3 linked regions of the Oryctolagus cuniculus genome follow. The protein of the gene in region 2 interacts with the protein of the main gene of each other region in a biochemical or structural test. Links are inferred from orthologs where the notes say so. Each region holds a gene or a part of one and is shown on either strand. Other genes may lie near its edges. The genes, in order: DCUN1D5, CUL3 and KLHL20.

Region 1 (5,094 bases), on a different chromosome or scaffold from region 2:
AACTTTAAAAAATATTACATAGAAAAACGTTTCATGTACTTTGTTTTCCAGAATACTGCTTTAGTCAACAGATATAAATTAATAAGTGAATCTGTCTCTGTTGACACATTCATCCTCCCACTAAATAAATACAGAATATATATTTAAAGAAATATCAGTCTGAACCGACACCAAATTCCTAGCCTACCCACAATCCTCAGCCTTGCTCTGATCCCAGCACAGCACTAAGACATAGCAGGCCTGTAATAAACAATTTGTTAAATGAATGAACCAAAAAAAATTTTTAAAGCATATGACTGGTATCTTCTTACATTAATTTCATTACCTGCATACTCATAAAACCAAGCCAGGCACTTCTTGCTTGAAAAATGTTCCTCTCCACTTATTAGTCTAGCAGGGGGTTGGGATCTGCAATAGCTTAGAAAACACACAAATGCCTAAGATTTTTATTAAGTCTCAATTCTTAGTGAAAAACTAAGTTCAATAAGAACTACCGCAATTCAAAGTAAACAAAATATTTTTAGACGTTGACATTATAGGGAAAAAAAACTGAAGTACTTCCAATTCAGTAGTCTAAATGTAAAAATTTATGGATAACAACCCCAAATGCTGCTTTGCTCACTATAAAATTCTAAAATATCAACTGAAATTATCTCCCAAAATTGCAAAAGACTACACAAAGAAGTTCAACCTAAGTCTCGAGGCAGGATTGTTAGTTGGGAAAGTGTAAAATCTATATTCTGTTTCTGCTACTGATTCATATGGAAATCATATTTGTATATAACAGGTATACATTTGAAAACAAAATCTTACAAAGTATATTTAGATACTTGACCAATATTTCAAAATAAAAAGATACATTAAGAATTGTTCATTTATCATCTACTAAGCTAAAATAAACATTTAAAGATAAAAATGACATAGGACCTACAGGTATACTAAATTCCATAGACTGAGAAAAAATACAAAACAAAACAAAAACTCTAAAAGTTAATGTAAGTCTCAATAATTCAGCCAAAGCTACTTAATCTCAGACAAAATCATTTTCAACACTTTTTGATGAAATCATTAAAAGTTGATTAATTCCAAAGTGGCCTGTAGGATTTCATGCACTTTAGAGTACCTTGAAATTCAAATAATTACACTATCACAATGATACAGAAATGAAATTGAGTAATATGTCAAAGAAGTATGCATAATAAAAAAAAATCGAGAGACAAAGTATATCCTGAGTTCTAGTAACATTGCCAGCTCAGCTAATCTAATGTTTGGTTTAAATAATTTTGACACTTTATACACTCAAGATGGTCACAAATTAAGAGTAACTAAAAAACTAATTTGTTTCACAAAAATATGAGCTCGTGGAGCCTTCATATAAAATTCATATAAAAATTCTCTAGACCAAGAGGTGTAAGAAAATTGTGTCACATTAAACGGCCTCAGAAATACTCCTTGGTCTCCTTTGCCAAAACACAGTAATAATGAAGGAAAAAGTCAATCAATGGCGAAAAGGAAGGTGAAGACTGGATTAAGTTACCTACCTCACACTTTAAGCAGCAGATCTCTCTGTAAGAGAAGCTCTGTTATTTCCTCCTTGTAATGCTGGCTACTGTCTTCTTTGAATGGTGGCATCTGACATTGTTACATCAGGTGTCAACCATTGATACAAAGACTCCCAAAGGAAATAAAAACCAACAACGTCCAGTCCACCTCTCATTTCTAAATTGCAATGCTTCTTTTTGCAGCATGCGGTGTTGCTGTGAGGCCCCAAGGATATGCTATCATGCAAAGAGCTGTAACTCCAGTTCACCGAGCATGGTGTACAACAGCTCCCAAATTACTAATACTGATACCAAGAACTAACACTGTGCTGAATGTTAGAGAACAAAAAGCATTCTGGGTGTTTCCAAGCCTGCACACGAGGACTTGGAATAGACGGAGGCATTACGTTTCCAGAAAATGAGGTCCCTACCATATGAAAGGCCTGCAGCTCAGATGGTCTCCGTTAGGGCTTCGAATACTACATCTGGAGGCCAATTTTAGCCTAAGAGTTCCTTCCTACCGTCCCCAAAGCAGTTGTCAAGCCAAGAATTCCTCACGCTCTTTTCTTCCAAGCTACAAAGAAATTCTGAAAGCGACCCTTTACTTCCACGTCTATTAAAAAGCTGAGGGTGGGATGAAGGGAGTGCGGGGCAGGGGAACGAGCGGAGCTTACAGATGCATCTGTTTCCCCCACCTCCAGGGCAGGCACCCCCTAATGCTGGAGACTGCCCCGGGCTCTCCGTGAACGCCGGGGCACACACACGAGCGAGCACGAGGTCGGTTCCGGCGCGGACTCCCGGTGTTCTGCACCTACCGCCTGGCTGGAAAAGGGGGCCTCACCCCTCTCCAGCCCGAGACCGGGAGGCCGGGCCCGACTCCCTTTCTTCCAGCTGCCCAGCAAAGGAGGAAGAAGGAAAGCTTGAAGGAAAGGGTGGAAGTGGTACCTGGAGATTTTACACTTTTTGAGGCCTCCGTCTTCTGCTATTGCCGCTGCCACCCCAGAGGATTTTCTCTTCTTCTTCACCGGCATCTTCCGCCCTCCCTGGCAGGGTGGGCAGGGGAGCCGGGGAAGGGGGTCAATGTCTGCTGGAGGCCCCTCAGCGCTGGCACTTCGTTCCCAAATACAGCAGCAAGCGGAGGGGCAGAGTCGTCAGGCTGGCCCGGCTCGGCCCCGCACGGCGGCCGTGCGTTCCCAGGTCTCCTGCTCTTTTTTCTTCGCTGGGACAGGGGTGGCTCCTCGCCGGTGGCCACTGCGGGTCGGTCTCGCCGAGAGGAAATAACGCGTACAGCGCGGCACCTCCGCCAGTCACAGGGAGCAAGCGGCTCAGCCTGACCCGGATGCGAATCCCTTATATTCGGAAGTGACGCGTGCGCGCGGGTTGCCGGAAGGGGTGTGGCTCTAGTTGACCCAGGTTAGCCGCAGGGGCGGTGGGTTCCTGCTGTCTAACCGAGGAAAAGGTAGAAGTCCTGCTTTGTGCCGGAATTACTGCAAACAAAACTTAGTATCCTGGCCTTTCTCTTCCACCCCCACCTTGGTGTTAGTAGTCACCACCGAGAATGTTTTATGAAACGAATATTCTGCAACTGGCGTTAAAAATATTCTGAAGAACTAGACCAGGTTTCACTCCTGAGCTCTTCCAAACGGTAATCTTATCGTTAGTGTTCCCGCATTTAAACGCATTGTCAGTGTCTAGCATATTTTCTTCAGGGACCTGTGATTGGCCTCTAGCTCCTTCCCCCCCCGTCCCCCACTTCTCAACCTCTGCTAGCCACTGTGTCCCGCAGTGAAGTTTAACTGCACAATTTTTACTTATACAGAACTCACCTCTCGGAAGAGAGATAGTAGATGATTGCTGACTGAGTAGCAAGGAATTTACCGGACAGCAAACAGCAAAATCTAAACTGTCAGGAAGTCTTCGAGACGTGTGACCCGGATTCTGCAGCAAATTAATAGGAAGAGAGGATAAGGATTTAAAGGATATAGCGATGATTTTTAATATGATTTTTATTGAATATTGATTCAAGCCAACAATTCATATAGCATTTTGAGACAACTGGACATTGTAATACTAATTTGATATGTGACAAAATTTTTTACCATGTAAAACTTATCTGAAGGAACAGCATATCTGTAACACATGGGGCTTGGGATAGGGTAGAAATAGGGAAGACGGCAAAGATGTACAAAGGAACTTTCTGGATGATAGATACACTGTGCATTAGTTGGGGTGCTGGTGTATGTACTTGTCAAAAGTCATTGACTCGTACACTTATCTGAATTTATCTCACAAAAGGGCCATATTGATAGCCTCTGTACCTATGAGCAGTATAGAAATACTAGCTATGTGGTTTTTTTTTTTTTAAAGATTTATTTATTTGAAAGGCAGAATAACAGAGAGAGGAAGATAGATAACTTTCATCTACTGGTTCACTCCTCAAATGGCCACAAAAGCCAGGTCTAGACCAGGCTAAAGCTGGGAGGCAAGAACTCCAAGCCCAAGCACCTGAGCCATCTTCCACTGCCCTGCCACCATTAGCTGGATTGGAAAATAGGTAGGAGTTAAACTAGCCCTCTGACATGGGATGACATCACCACAAGAGTTAGTGTAACCCACTGTGTTACAATGCCAGCCCATACTTAACATGGTTTTAATTTTCTCTGCTGGCCACCAACATGTGGATTTTGATGTTTCATCAAAAGCTACCTATAATAGAGAAACAAACCATGTGAAATAACTGTGCTTCTTCAATGTACAACAGAACATTTTTAAAATAAAAATAATGAGAAGGAAAGGAAGGGATTAAGGATTTACCTTAAAGAAAAACTCATGTGTTCTGGTTTCAGGTGCAAAGATGACACTAATAACTTTACGAAAGGCACATAAATGTATCCTACTATTATACAAAAGAATGTAAAAAAAAGTACAAAACTAAATGATATCCATCTATTATGACAGTGTACATATACTTATGATGGATAGGGAAGTAAGCTAAAGGACTGAAACATGGCTCCATCATACATTTGGCATCTTGTTCATACACATATCCCTTGGCTTTTCAGAGCTTTAGAACAAAACCATGAAAAAAAATTGTTTTATTTATTCAAAACACAGAGTTACACAGAGAGAGAGGGAACAGAGAGAGAGAGAGAGAGGTCTTCCACCTGCTAGTTCACTCCCTAAGTGGCCACAATGGTCAGGGCTGGGCTAAGCCGAAACCAGGAGCCAGGAACTTCTTCCAGGTCTCTCATGTGGGTGCAGGTGCCAACGCACTTGAGCTGTCCTCTGCTGCTTTCCCAGACACATTCGCAGGGAGCTGGATTAGAAGTGGAGCAGCCAGGGTGAAAATCAGTGCCTATATGAGATGCTGGTGCTGCAGGCAGTCAGGTTAACCTGCTATAATACAATGCCAACCCTGAAAAAAAAAACTTTAAAAGTTATATCTGAATCAAGGTAGCTAAAAATATTGCCCTAAGATGTGTTATTTGTATATTCAGTGCATAATTTTTTTCTTTAAATTTTCTTTCTTTCTTTATTTTTATTTGAAAGGCAG
Region 2 (4,994 bases):
CTTCATTCTAATTAAAATAGCAGAAAAAGAAAACAGAAGATTGATTTTTGACATATTTGGTCGTTAAAAGGAAACGTGAATTTTCTGGGGGTAGAAATTGGGAAATCACAAACAAGATCTTTGGACACTGCTAACTAAGGCAAGGCAAGAGACAGCACACTCTACAGTTCAGAAAATCATTATGGTGTGCATATCCATTCAGCTGTTTCTAATTAATTAGAATCCTTCAGTAAAAAAATACTGCTTTCAGCATCATTTCCCAGTGTTATTACTAATTAATATCCTAGCAGGCCAGTGCCGCGGCTCAATGGGCTAATCCTCCACCTGCGGCACCAGCACCCCGCGTTCTAGTCCCAGTCGGGGCACCAGATTCTGTCTCGGTTGCTCCTTTTCCTGTCCAGCTCTCTGCTGTGGCCCAGGAGTGCAGTGGAGGATGGCCCAAGTGTTTGGGCCCTGCACCCGCATGGGAAACCAGGAGGGAGAACCTGGCTCCTGGCTTCAGATCAGTGGGGTGCGCTGGCTGCAGCGGCCATTGGGAGGTGAACCAATGGAAAAGGAAGACCTTTCTGTCTCTCTCACTGTCTAACTCCGCCTGTAAAAAAAACAAACAAACAAAAAACAAAAAAAACCAAAACCTAATGTCTTAGCAAAACAGAATGGATGAAAATAACCTATGCATAATAATACTTTTCCTTAAAAAAAAAAAAAAAAAAAGAGGTCATGTGAAAAGTTAAAGTAGAGATACTAGTTCAAATGGAAGTAAAGAGACATAAAAATGAAATAATGTAGAAACTTTGATAGTATCCTAGATTCTAAAAGGTATGAAAGGAATCTTTGAGACAACCGAGGACACAGAAATAAGGTACAGAGATAATATGTAATGCAGTATTACAGTGATGTAGGGAAATATTTCATTCTAAGAAGTATCTGCTGAAGTTTAGAGGGAAAGTGTTGTTTGTGAATCAATTTCAAATGCTGTCACAAAGACATACATACACAGGGGGAGGAAGAGAAAGCATATATGGAAAAATTTCAATGGCTGGTACATAAGAGTACTCCAAAAAGTTTGTGGGAAATAGAATTCAAAGATGTTTATCTTGGTACAAGGAAAAACTGAAATTCACACATATAAGTGGCCTTCAAAAAGTTCAGAGAAAATGTGTATTATGAAAAAACCTATGCATTGATTTTAAAAATTTTTGTATGAAAATATGTATTTTTTAAAATAAGTATTTTATTTAATGTGCTTGGGAAAGCAGGGAAGACAGCCAAGTGCTTGGACCCCTACCATTCACATGTGAGACCCAGGTGGAGGTCCAGGCTTGGCCCAGCCCTTGCTGTCAAGGCGATTTGGGGAGTGAACAAGTGGACAGAATCTCTGTCTCTTCCTCTCTCTCTGTAACTGACTTTCAAATAAAATCTTAAGAAAAAAATGTTGGGGAAATTTTTTGGCTTTGGTCACCTAAATAGGTGTACTCCTTAAATATGCATAAAAAAAGATAAACGAGAAGACTGGTCATAATACATTAAAATATGATGGCTTTGAAAAATGTGAGCACAGGGCCTCACTCACAGAGTCCAACACAACATTCTGTACTTAACGAGAACAGAGGGGTTTGCTTGTTTGAGGGCCTACAAATATAGCTATATGTATGCTGAGGCAAGAGGAGTTTAAGCAGGCAAGTGGTGAGATGGAGAGTACTGTCACCACTGGAAACTGCTGTAGACTAAAACGAATCTAATTCTTTTCAAATATTGAGTATTGTTAATAATTTTGTTAACTTCTTTACAAAACTGCTACTGCTGGCTACAGCAAAAGCAGCGTAAAAGGGAAAGGTCAGAGTCTGTGTTTTTGATGTTACTGAGCCTTTGGCAATTTAAGAAAACCAACGCACCAACATGGTCACAATATTTACTGCCAAAGAGAAAATTTTCACTTAAAAAAATATGACTCAGAGCCAAGATCATCTAAAACCATCCTCAAATGAAAAATATACTTCTTTGCAGAATTTTATCATTGAAAAGAACTTTCAAGAGCTCATCTAGTCAAATCCTTCATCATATAAAACCAATTTCTATTTTAATCACACCTAACATGCTATACACAAACATGTGCTGCATACAACTTAACACCAAAAACTAAAAATTCAGAAATTATTTTTCCACAATAACTGCTCATTACTGGACATGATGCAATCAGGGATTACAAAGATACTTATCCAGGGCAAAGCAGGGTGAACACAGGTAATTCAGATATATATATACCCATATATTTTTTGTGAAATCTAGGATACAAATGAGCACTGAAATTCCCAATCCAAAACCTGCATCTGCCCAAATCTGTAAGCTTAAAGGCCTTGCACTAGAGGAGAAAAGAAATTATATTCCATGATACTTTAAAGATTGTTTAATATTTCTGTGTCACAAAGACTTGGGCCAATCTGGGCTGCTGAGATTACAATGATACAGATCCCAACTATGAGACAAGCTGATCAGGCTTTAATAGACACTCCACACTGGTTCACAAAGCATATATACAAAAAAATCAAAAAGATCAAGGAGGAAAACAAATGAAATATGTACAAAAAGTTCTTGAATCAATGTATTCTGGTAATCATATATTTTTAACACTAATCTTTCACTAAATATCTATTTTTAAATCAGAAAACTATAGGTATTTTAAAAACTGATCTTACCTAGCTTACTCTAAAATACTATTTTACTACACAGATAAATAAGCTGTAATGGATGAAATAGTACTTGGAAGCTTCTCTAAATAGTAATTTTGAAACCAGACAGTAAACTACATGATTTTTAAATATCCCCAAAAGCAGGGTACTTTCTTCCCCTTAAATAAATAGATAATACACACTTCGCGTTATGTTAAATATATAATCGATACAATTTTTCACTATGAACTTAGAAGCCTATACTACAAGCTGTTCAAAACTGTAATTTCTATGTCTCAGAATTCAAGATAATATATAATTTAAGATTTTGAATCCTAAATGTTTATCAAAACATAAACAGTTGTATTTAAAAGACCAAATTTTACATAGGTAAATTTTGAAAAATGGTAAGTGGGCTTTAAAAATAGACTTCCAGTGTCTATTAGTTAACAAGTTAAAAATAATTTAAGTATTAGCATGTCTGCAAAATTTCATTTGCTGAAAAACAAGGAAAGAAGTACCTTGTTCATATTATGAATTACTTTCCAAAATGCTTATTGTACTTGGATTCAATTACATTCTGATACAAGCATTTATCAATAAAAATTGCTTTATTTCTTATGCGTAAGAATCACACGGCACTAGAAAAGCGTTATTTTTTAATAGAAACAGATGAAAATGTTTTCTAGAGAAAAAAATATAATCTTTTTAAGAGGAAAAATATAATTCCAGATACCTGTTTGAATCTTGACTCTGTGTAGTTTGGATGTGAACTGATCGTTAACTGTAAATATGTGACCATTTTCTATTTCCTTTGACTTGGGCTCTTTGGTAAGAACCCGCTGTGTTGGTTTACCACAGGCGAGGGACTGTAGGGCTCTAACAAGCTCTCTTTCAGGGATATCTGTCTCTTGCTGAATTTCCTGAAATTTCATCAGATTGACATAATTAGACTTATTGGAAAATTAAGAGCACATTAGTTAATTAGCAAGTAAATTGACCAAGCAGTGGTTAGAGCAAGGTAATTCTATTAAAGAAATAATTTACAACAAGAATTCCCTGAATATTATGACTTATCATTAAAATCTCATTGTTTAAACAAACTGAAAAAGGGTGATTTAAATTACAAAATATTAAAACATGTTCTTTTTTGTTCCAAGAGATATAATGCCTCATCCAAATATGTCATCCAGTAGAGATTATCAAGAACCTACTTTAATGTTTAGGTAAAAATAAAGTGTTAACCAACATGTAACTACTGATTTTAGAAACATTTTATAATTTTCCTTCCAGGATGAGGTATACTCCTGTTCACTTAATAACATCTTTCCTAGAAAGAGAGTAAAGTGAGCCTAATCGCAGTTCTTCTATTATACAATTAAAATTCACATCACAGGAATAGGCTTGAGCCTAGCTCCTAGCACTGGAGCAGCTTCAGTCTTATGCTTCCTGCCAGTGCAGGTCCCAAGAGGCAATGGTGACTGCTCATGTAGCTGAATTTTAATATCCACATGAGAGACCCTGGACTGTGTTCCTGGCTCCAAGCTTTGGCCCTGGCATTTGGGGAGTAAACCAGCGAAATGGAGTACAGTCCATCAGTCTTCCATAAATAGTTACAATCTAAGTTGACTGTATTTACTGCCTGTGTGTAATCAAATGAAAACAAAAATCTTAAAATCTGGAAATCAGAAAGATTTCTATTTTCAAGTTCAAGATCCAATTTCAGTGATTATATACATTCCTTTCCTTCAAATGATCCTAAATGTGCTGCCAATTTTAATACCAGAAAATTAAAATAACACTATTATTAGAATGGATATATTATGCATGTTAAAAGTGACTTACATATTACAGTTATTGTTTAACTACATTCAAAAAACCAAAAATACTTTCTTAGGGGCTATTTCTCTGGTAATTACAGCTAATTCTCAGAAGTAACTACTGCAATTCACTATATATCTTTCCATACCTTTTCCTATTCACCTATATAAACATGAATACAAATACACACATTTACATTTATGTATATGAACACACCCTCCTATTTACACCTAATATGAGTGTTGTACATAAATGAGATAATAACATAGGGATTTTTCTACTAATTTCTTCAGATTTTCCACATTAGCATAGATATTAAAGCTACATGGAATTCCACAGCATTGCTATCATGATACAGATACAGACTGAGAGTGGATTCAACTTTGTCCTGCTATACCCATTTCTGTCTTTGAACACAACTGCCAGATTTTTTTAAAGAAAACTTCTATAGAAATATATTGGCTTTCTCCAAGTCATAAACATTTTGTATTTGATGGATACCAA
Region 3 (4,994 bases), on a different chromosome or scaffold from region 2:
TCCCCTAAGGTGATCGCATTGGCCTTGATTTCTTAGACTTGTTAATGGTGTTTTAATTATTAAAAAAATTCATGGGAGACCAGGAGAAGCACCTGGTTCCTGGCTTCAGATCGGCACACCAGCCGTAGCGGCCATTTGGAGGGTGAACCAACGGAAGGAAGACCTTTCTCTCTGTCTCTCTCTCTCTCACTAACTCTGCCTGTCAAAAAATAAAGTACATATTTTATGCAATTAAATTTACCAATCATTTCCTTTACAGCTTCTTGGGTTTTCTCTTGCTTAAAAAGAATCAGTCCATGGCTTAATTACTATGTCAACAACACCTAAATTTTAATCTGGGCCTAATATCTTATCTAGGAAATAGACTCATAAGCAACTGCTTGTTCAATATCTACTTAAATACCTCAAAGGTGTCCCAAACTGTACATTTCTGAAACAGAAATCATGATCTTATCTCCTTACACTGTGCCACCCTTTAGTACATATAGAGTACAAATTCCTAGAAGCAGGACTGCTGGATCATAAACTGTGTGAAAAAGTATACAATTTTAACAGATACTGACAAACTTCAAATTCATACTACAATGAACCTATTTCCCTGCTAACATGCCAACAGACTGTATAAAGTTATGAATAGTTAATAGTATTTTGGTGCAGTTTTGTGTTTTAGTTATTTTCAATAAATGTGACCAGATTTTCGGATATTTAAGGCAATATGAATTTCCCTTTCTTTTCTACTCTTTTTTTTTTTTTTTTTTTTTTGACAGGCAGAGTGGACAGTGAGAGAGAGAGAGACAGAGAGAAAGGTCTTCCTTTTCCGTTGGTTCACCCCCCAGTGGCCGCTCCGGCTGGTGTGCTGCGGCTGGCACACCATGCTGATCCAAAGCCAGGAGCCAAGTGCTTCCTCCTGGTCTCCCATGTGGGTGCAGGGCCCAAGGACTTGGGTCATCCTCCACTGTCTTTCTGGGCCACAGCAGAGAGCTGGACTGGAAGAGGAGCAACCAGGACAGAATCTGGCGCCCTGACTAGGACTAGAACCCAGTGTGCCGGGGCCGCAGGTGGAGGATTAGCCTATTGAGCCGCGGCGTTGACCCTCATTTTTCTTTTAAGTTTGGATTATAATTTGTTCTGCTGAATAATTCATGTAACCAGGAAGGAAATGCCTTATGCAAATGACTGATACCAGGTGCTCTATCAGGTACAGATCCTCTTAGGAATTAGTGAAATGTATTTTGGGTTGTAAATAAGCCTTTTATGAATATAGCTGTGGGGCCGGCGCCGTGGCTCAATAGGCTAATCCTCCACCTTGCGGCGCCGGCACACCGGGTTCTAGTCCCAGTCAGGGCGCCGGATTCTGTCCCGGTTGCCCCTCTTCCAGGCCAGCTCTCTGCTATGGCCAGGGAGTGCAGTGGAGGATGGCCCAGGTGCTTGGGCCCTGCACCCCATGGGAGACCAGGAAAAGCACCTGGAGCCTGGCTCCTGCCATCGGATCAGCGCGGTGCACCGGCTGCAGCGGCGGCCATTGGAGGGTGAACCAACGGCAAAAAGGAAGACCTTTCTCTCTCTGTCTCTCTCTCACTGTCCACTCTGCCTGTAAAAAAAAAAAAAAAAAAGAATATAGCTGTGGAGAATCAATCCCTAAGCCATAAGTTTTGCTGGTAAAACATAAAATTGGCTTCCAAAATAAAAATCAGGCTTAGATTTTATAAATATTTCTATGACATTGTGAGTTAGGATCAACAGCAAATATTCGGGCAGGTGTTAACAGACTATGAACTCGTATCCCTCTCTTGACAAATAGGTTACAAATGTGTTCAAACCACCAAATACAACTCACCTCTTGGAAGTTATGTTGAGTGAACTTGTCTGCTATCCTTAGCAGCTCACGACATGAATGTGTATCAGCAAAAGCCCGAATGCCCAGGCAGTTAGAAGGATCTAACTGTCTCTTCAGGAATTCGCAGCAGGCCTCCTGTATTTCTGCCAGCTGGAGGAGGCAGGCAGCTGGCAGAAGGGTCTGCACATTGCCCTCTTCGACAGTGATCTGGGAAGTATACGCAAAGTCAATCAGGAGTTCCATGGCCCTCTCATCGATGTCTCGGATCACGACTTCGGTCTGACGGCTCTCTGCCAGTTCTCCTGTGAACATAGCTCGGAAGTAGGGACTGCAGGCTGACAAGATGACTCGGTGGGCATATATTTTCTTAGCTCCCACAACTAGAACCACATCGCAGAGCTCCCGGTGCTTTCTCAGAAGGTTAATAACTTCCAAGGTCTGTCGAGGGTGCTTGTCTGAGATGTAGGGCATGCGGGCAGGTTGGGGAACCCCTTCTGGCAGTTTGTTGGGGTCTCCAAGAGTGCAGCGGCTTGTTACATCCATTCCAGTCTCTCCTGGTCGAATGTTGGTACACCTACAGGAGGGAAGGAGAGGGAGGGAAGATGGTAATATTAGGAGAACTTCTGCCTTTAAGCTTTGTAAATCAAGAGATAGAAACATGTGCAATTAACAAGAGAGAGAAATAAGCCCCCAAGGAACTCTCTTCCTAAGACCCATTAATTTCTTTAAAATTTCCTGAAGGATGAATGGTAATAATTCCAAGTCAGAGCTCTCATAAAAGAAATGATAATTCCTTTTCATCCTGAAGTAGTTACACTGCGTTGGGTCATTTCCCACACAATGTTAATACAGAGCATTTGTAAATGTTTGTCTCTGCATGAAACAGATATATGAAGCTTAATTTCTAAATCAAGTTTAACCAGAATATCAGTATTTGTTATTTTTTTATAATAGCTGATATTTATTTCTTATTTTCACTGGGCAATACATTGAATTTTTCTAAGGTTCATCATAAAATCTGCTAACTACAGCACATGTTGCATGAAAAGATCAGAAGGGAAAAAGGCCAGGGTTGAAAAAATTATTTTCATGCATTAATATTATATTTATTTGATCTAAGATATATTTTTTCTTTTTTTTTAAAGATTTATTTTGTTTATTTGAAAGGCAGAGTTACAGAGTGAGGTAGAGATAAAGAGAGAGGTCTTCCATCTGCTGATTCACTCCCCACATAGCTGCAATGGCCAGAGCTGCGCCTATCTAAAGCCAGGAACCAGGAGCTTCTTCCAGGTCTCCCACGTGGGTGCAGGGGCCCAAGGACTTGAACCATCTTCCACTGCTTTCCAGGCCATAGCAGAGGGCTGGATCGGAAGAGGAGCAGCTGGGTCTCGAACCAGTGCCCATATGGAATGCCAGCACTTCAGGTCAGGGCCTTAACCCACTGTGCCACAGCACCGGCCCCAAGATATATATTTTTCATAGTTTAGTATTTAGTAAACCTTGGAAATCATCTAAAACTGATGTCCAAGAAACTTAACAGCTACCAAGTACAAGAGGTATGATCAGTTTGCCCTACCCTCACAAGGAAATTTTAGTCACATTTCTTGAAAGAGGTATTAGAATTTTCAGAGCCAAGAGAGGTTAGTGTGACAGTCTTATGTCGCAAAACAACAATTGCTCAAGATCTGAAAGTTTTTGGTTAACTTTCAAAGGAAGAGATTTTACTCTAAATGGTATATAATTGGTATATACTTGATCTAAAGAGTCTTATCAGGACGGGTATTTAGTCTAGTGGTTGAGATGGCTCTTCTCACATCAGCACACCTGGGTTGATTCCCAGCTCTGGCTCTTGACTCCAGCTTTCTGCCAGGGCAGACCCTGGGAGCCAGCATGAAGGCTCAAGTAACTGAGTTCCTGCTACCTGTGTGGGAGGCCTGAACTGAGCTTGTGCCTCCCAGCTTTGGCCAGCTCTGGCTGCTGCAGGAATCCAGAGAGTGAACCAGTAGATGGAAGCTCTCTGTCTCTCAAATACATAAAATAAAATAAAATAAAATAATCACTACCTTAACCAAATGTGATAGGAAATATATATAATATACATATCAAGATTATATGATTACAGTAGTTTTAAAGAAGTAAATTAGGAAATAGAAAATAAAAGGTAAAAACACACACACATGCATACACACTATCACAGCATAGATTATATAACAGGGTGTCACTGTGAGGCTATAAGCAATTGCTGATCCAAACATAATTCAGAGGATTCATCAGTCTCTGAATAAGAGGTAAACTTTGAGGCAAACTTTATGATATCGAAGAAAACTGAGTATTAATTATATGGGTAAAAATATTGTCAGCTAATAAGAAAAGCTTTGTACCCTTAAGGCAGTCTTTACATTCTAAATAATTATTAAATAAATCAAGTGTCATATAAATAAGGAGCACAGTAAATAACTATAGGGTTAATTCTAATAGTTGGTCCTAAGAAAGAAAATAATCAAATCAAATATTTTAGAATTCATTCAGAGAGAAACGAATAGGTATGAAGAGTTCCTTCTCATATATAAACTGGATTGAGTCAAACATCAGGTGTCTTAAAGTGTTTTTTTAAATTTTTTATTTTTTTGACAGGCAGAGTGGACAGTGAGAGAGAGAGAGAGAGACAAAGGTCTTCCTTTTCCATTGGTTCACCCCCCAGTGGCCGCTCTGGCCAGCGCGCTGTGGCCGGTGCACCGTGCCGATCTGAAGCCAGGAGCCAGGTGCTTCTCCTGGTCTCCCATGGGGTGCAGGGCCCAAGCACCTGGGCCATCCTCCACTGCACTCCCTGGCCACAGCAGAGAGCTGGACTGGAAGAGGAGCAACCGGGACAGAATCCGGCGCCCCAACCGGAACTAGAACCAGGGGTGCTGGTGCCGCAGGCAGAGTATTAGCCTAGTGAGCTGCGGCGCCGGCTTTAAAGTGTTTTTATTATATCTTTTTTAAAAAAATTATTTTATTAAAATTTTTTTGATTATATAAAAAGATTTCTTCCTTCATCTCTCCCAACCAAGCATAACAGCTCTGACAGAGGGGTACTATGACTAATCTAATTTTGATTTTTTAGCATCTTTCTAGCTGTAGTTCATCAAAGCAGGCTCTGAAATCAAAGGGAGCT

Evidence for each region.
Region 1: the proteins of CUL3 (region 2) and DCUN1D5 form a complex in vitro, tested with the Homo sapiens proteins (2 studies listed by BioGRID, with this or other methods). The link is inferred for Oryctolagus cuniculus from reciprocal best matches to the Homo sapiens genes CUL3 and DCUN1D5.
Region 3: the proteins of CUL3 (region 2) and KLHL20 form a complex in vitro, tested with the Homo sapiens proteins (2 studies listed by BioGRID and IntAct). The link is inferred for Oryctolagus cuniculus from reciprocal best matches to the Homo sapiens genes CUL3 and KLHL20.

The regions. Positions count from the first base shown.
Region 1 is NC_091432.1:94,775,624-94,780,717, forward strand, and holds the start of DCUN1D5 (DCN1-like protein 5), read right to left. Parts: upstream 2,906-5,094; 5' UTR 2,573-2,905; coding exon 2,487-2,572; intron 1,628-2,486; exon of another isoform or gene 1,542-1,627; intron 418-1,541; coding exon 326-417; intron 1-325. UniProt on the Homo sapiens protein: Contributes to the neddylation of all cullins by transferring NEDD8 from N-terminally acetylated NEDD8-conjugating E2s enzyme to different cullin C-terminal domain-RBX complexes which is necessary for the activation of cullin-RING E3 ubiquitin ligases (CRLs).
Region 2 is NC_091434.1:14,738,348-14,743,341, reverse strand, and holds part of CUL3 (cullin-3), read right to left. Parts: intron 3,593-4,994; coding exon 3,406-3,592; intron 1-3,405. UniProt on the Homo sapiens protein: Core component of multiple cullin-RING-based BCR (BTB-CUL3-RBX1) E3 ubiquitin-protein ligase complexes which mediate the ubiquitination and subsequent proteasomal degradation of target proteins.
Region 3 is NC_091438.1:2,170,541-2,175,534, reverse strand, and holds part of KLHL20 (kelch-like protein 20), read right to left. Parts: intron 2,412-4,994; coding exon 1,838-2,411; intron 1,830-1,837; exon of another isoform or gene 1-1,829. UniProt on the Homo sapiens protein: Substrate-specific adapter of a BCR (BTB-CUL3-RBX1) E3 ubiquitin-protein ligase complex involved in interferon response and anterograde Golgi to endosome transport.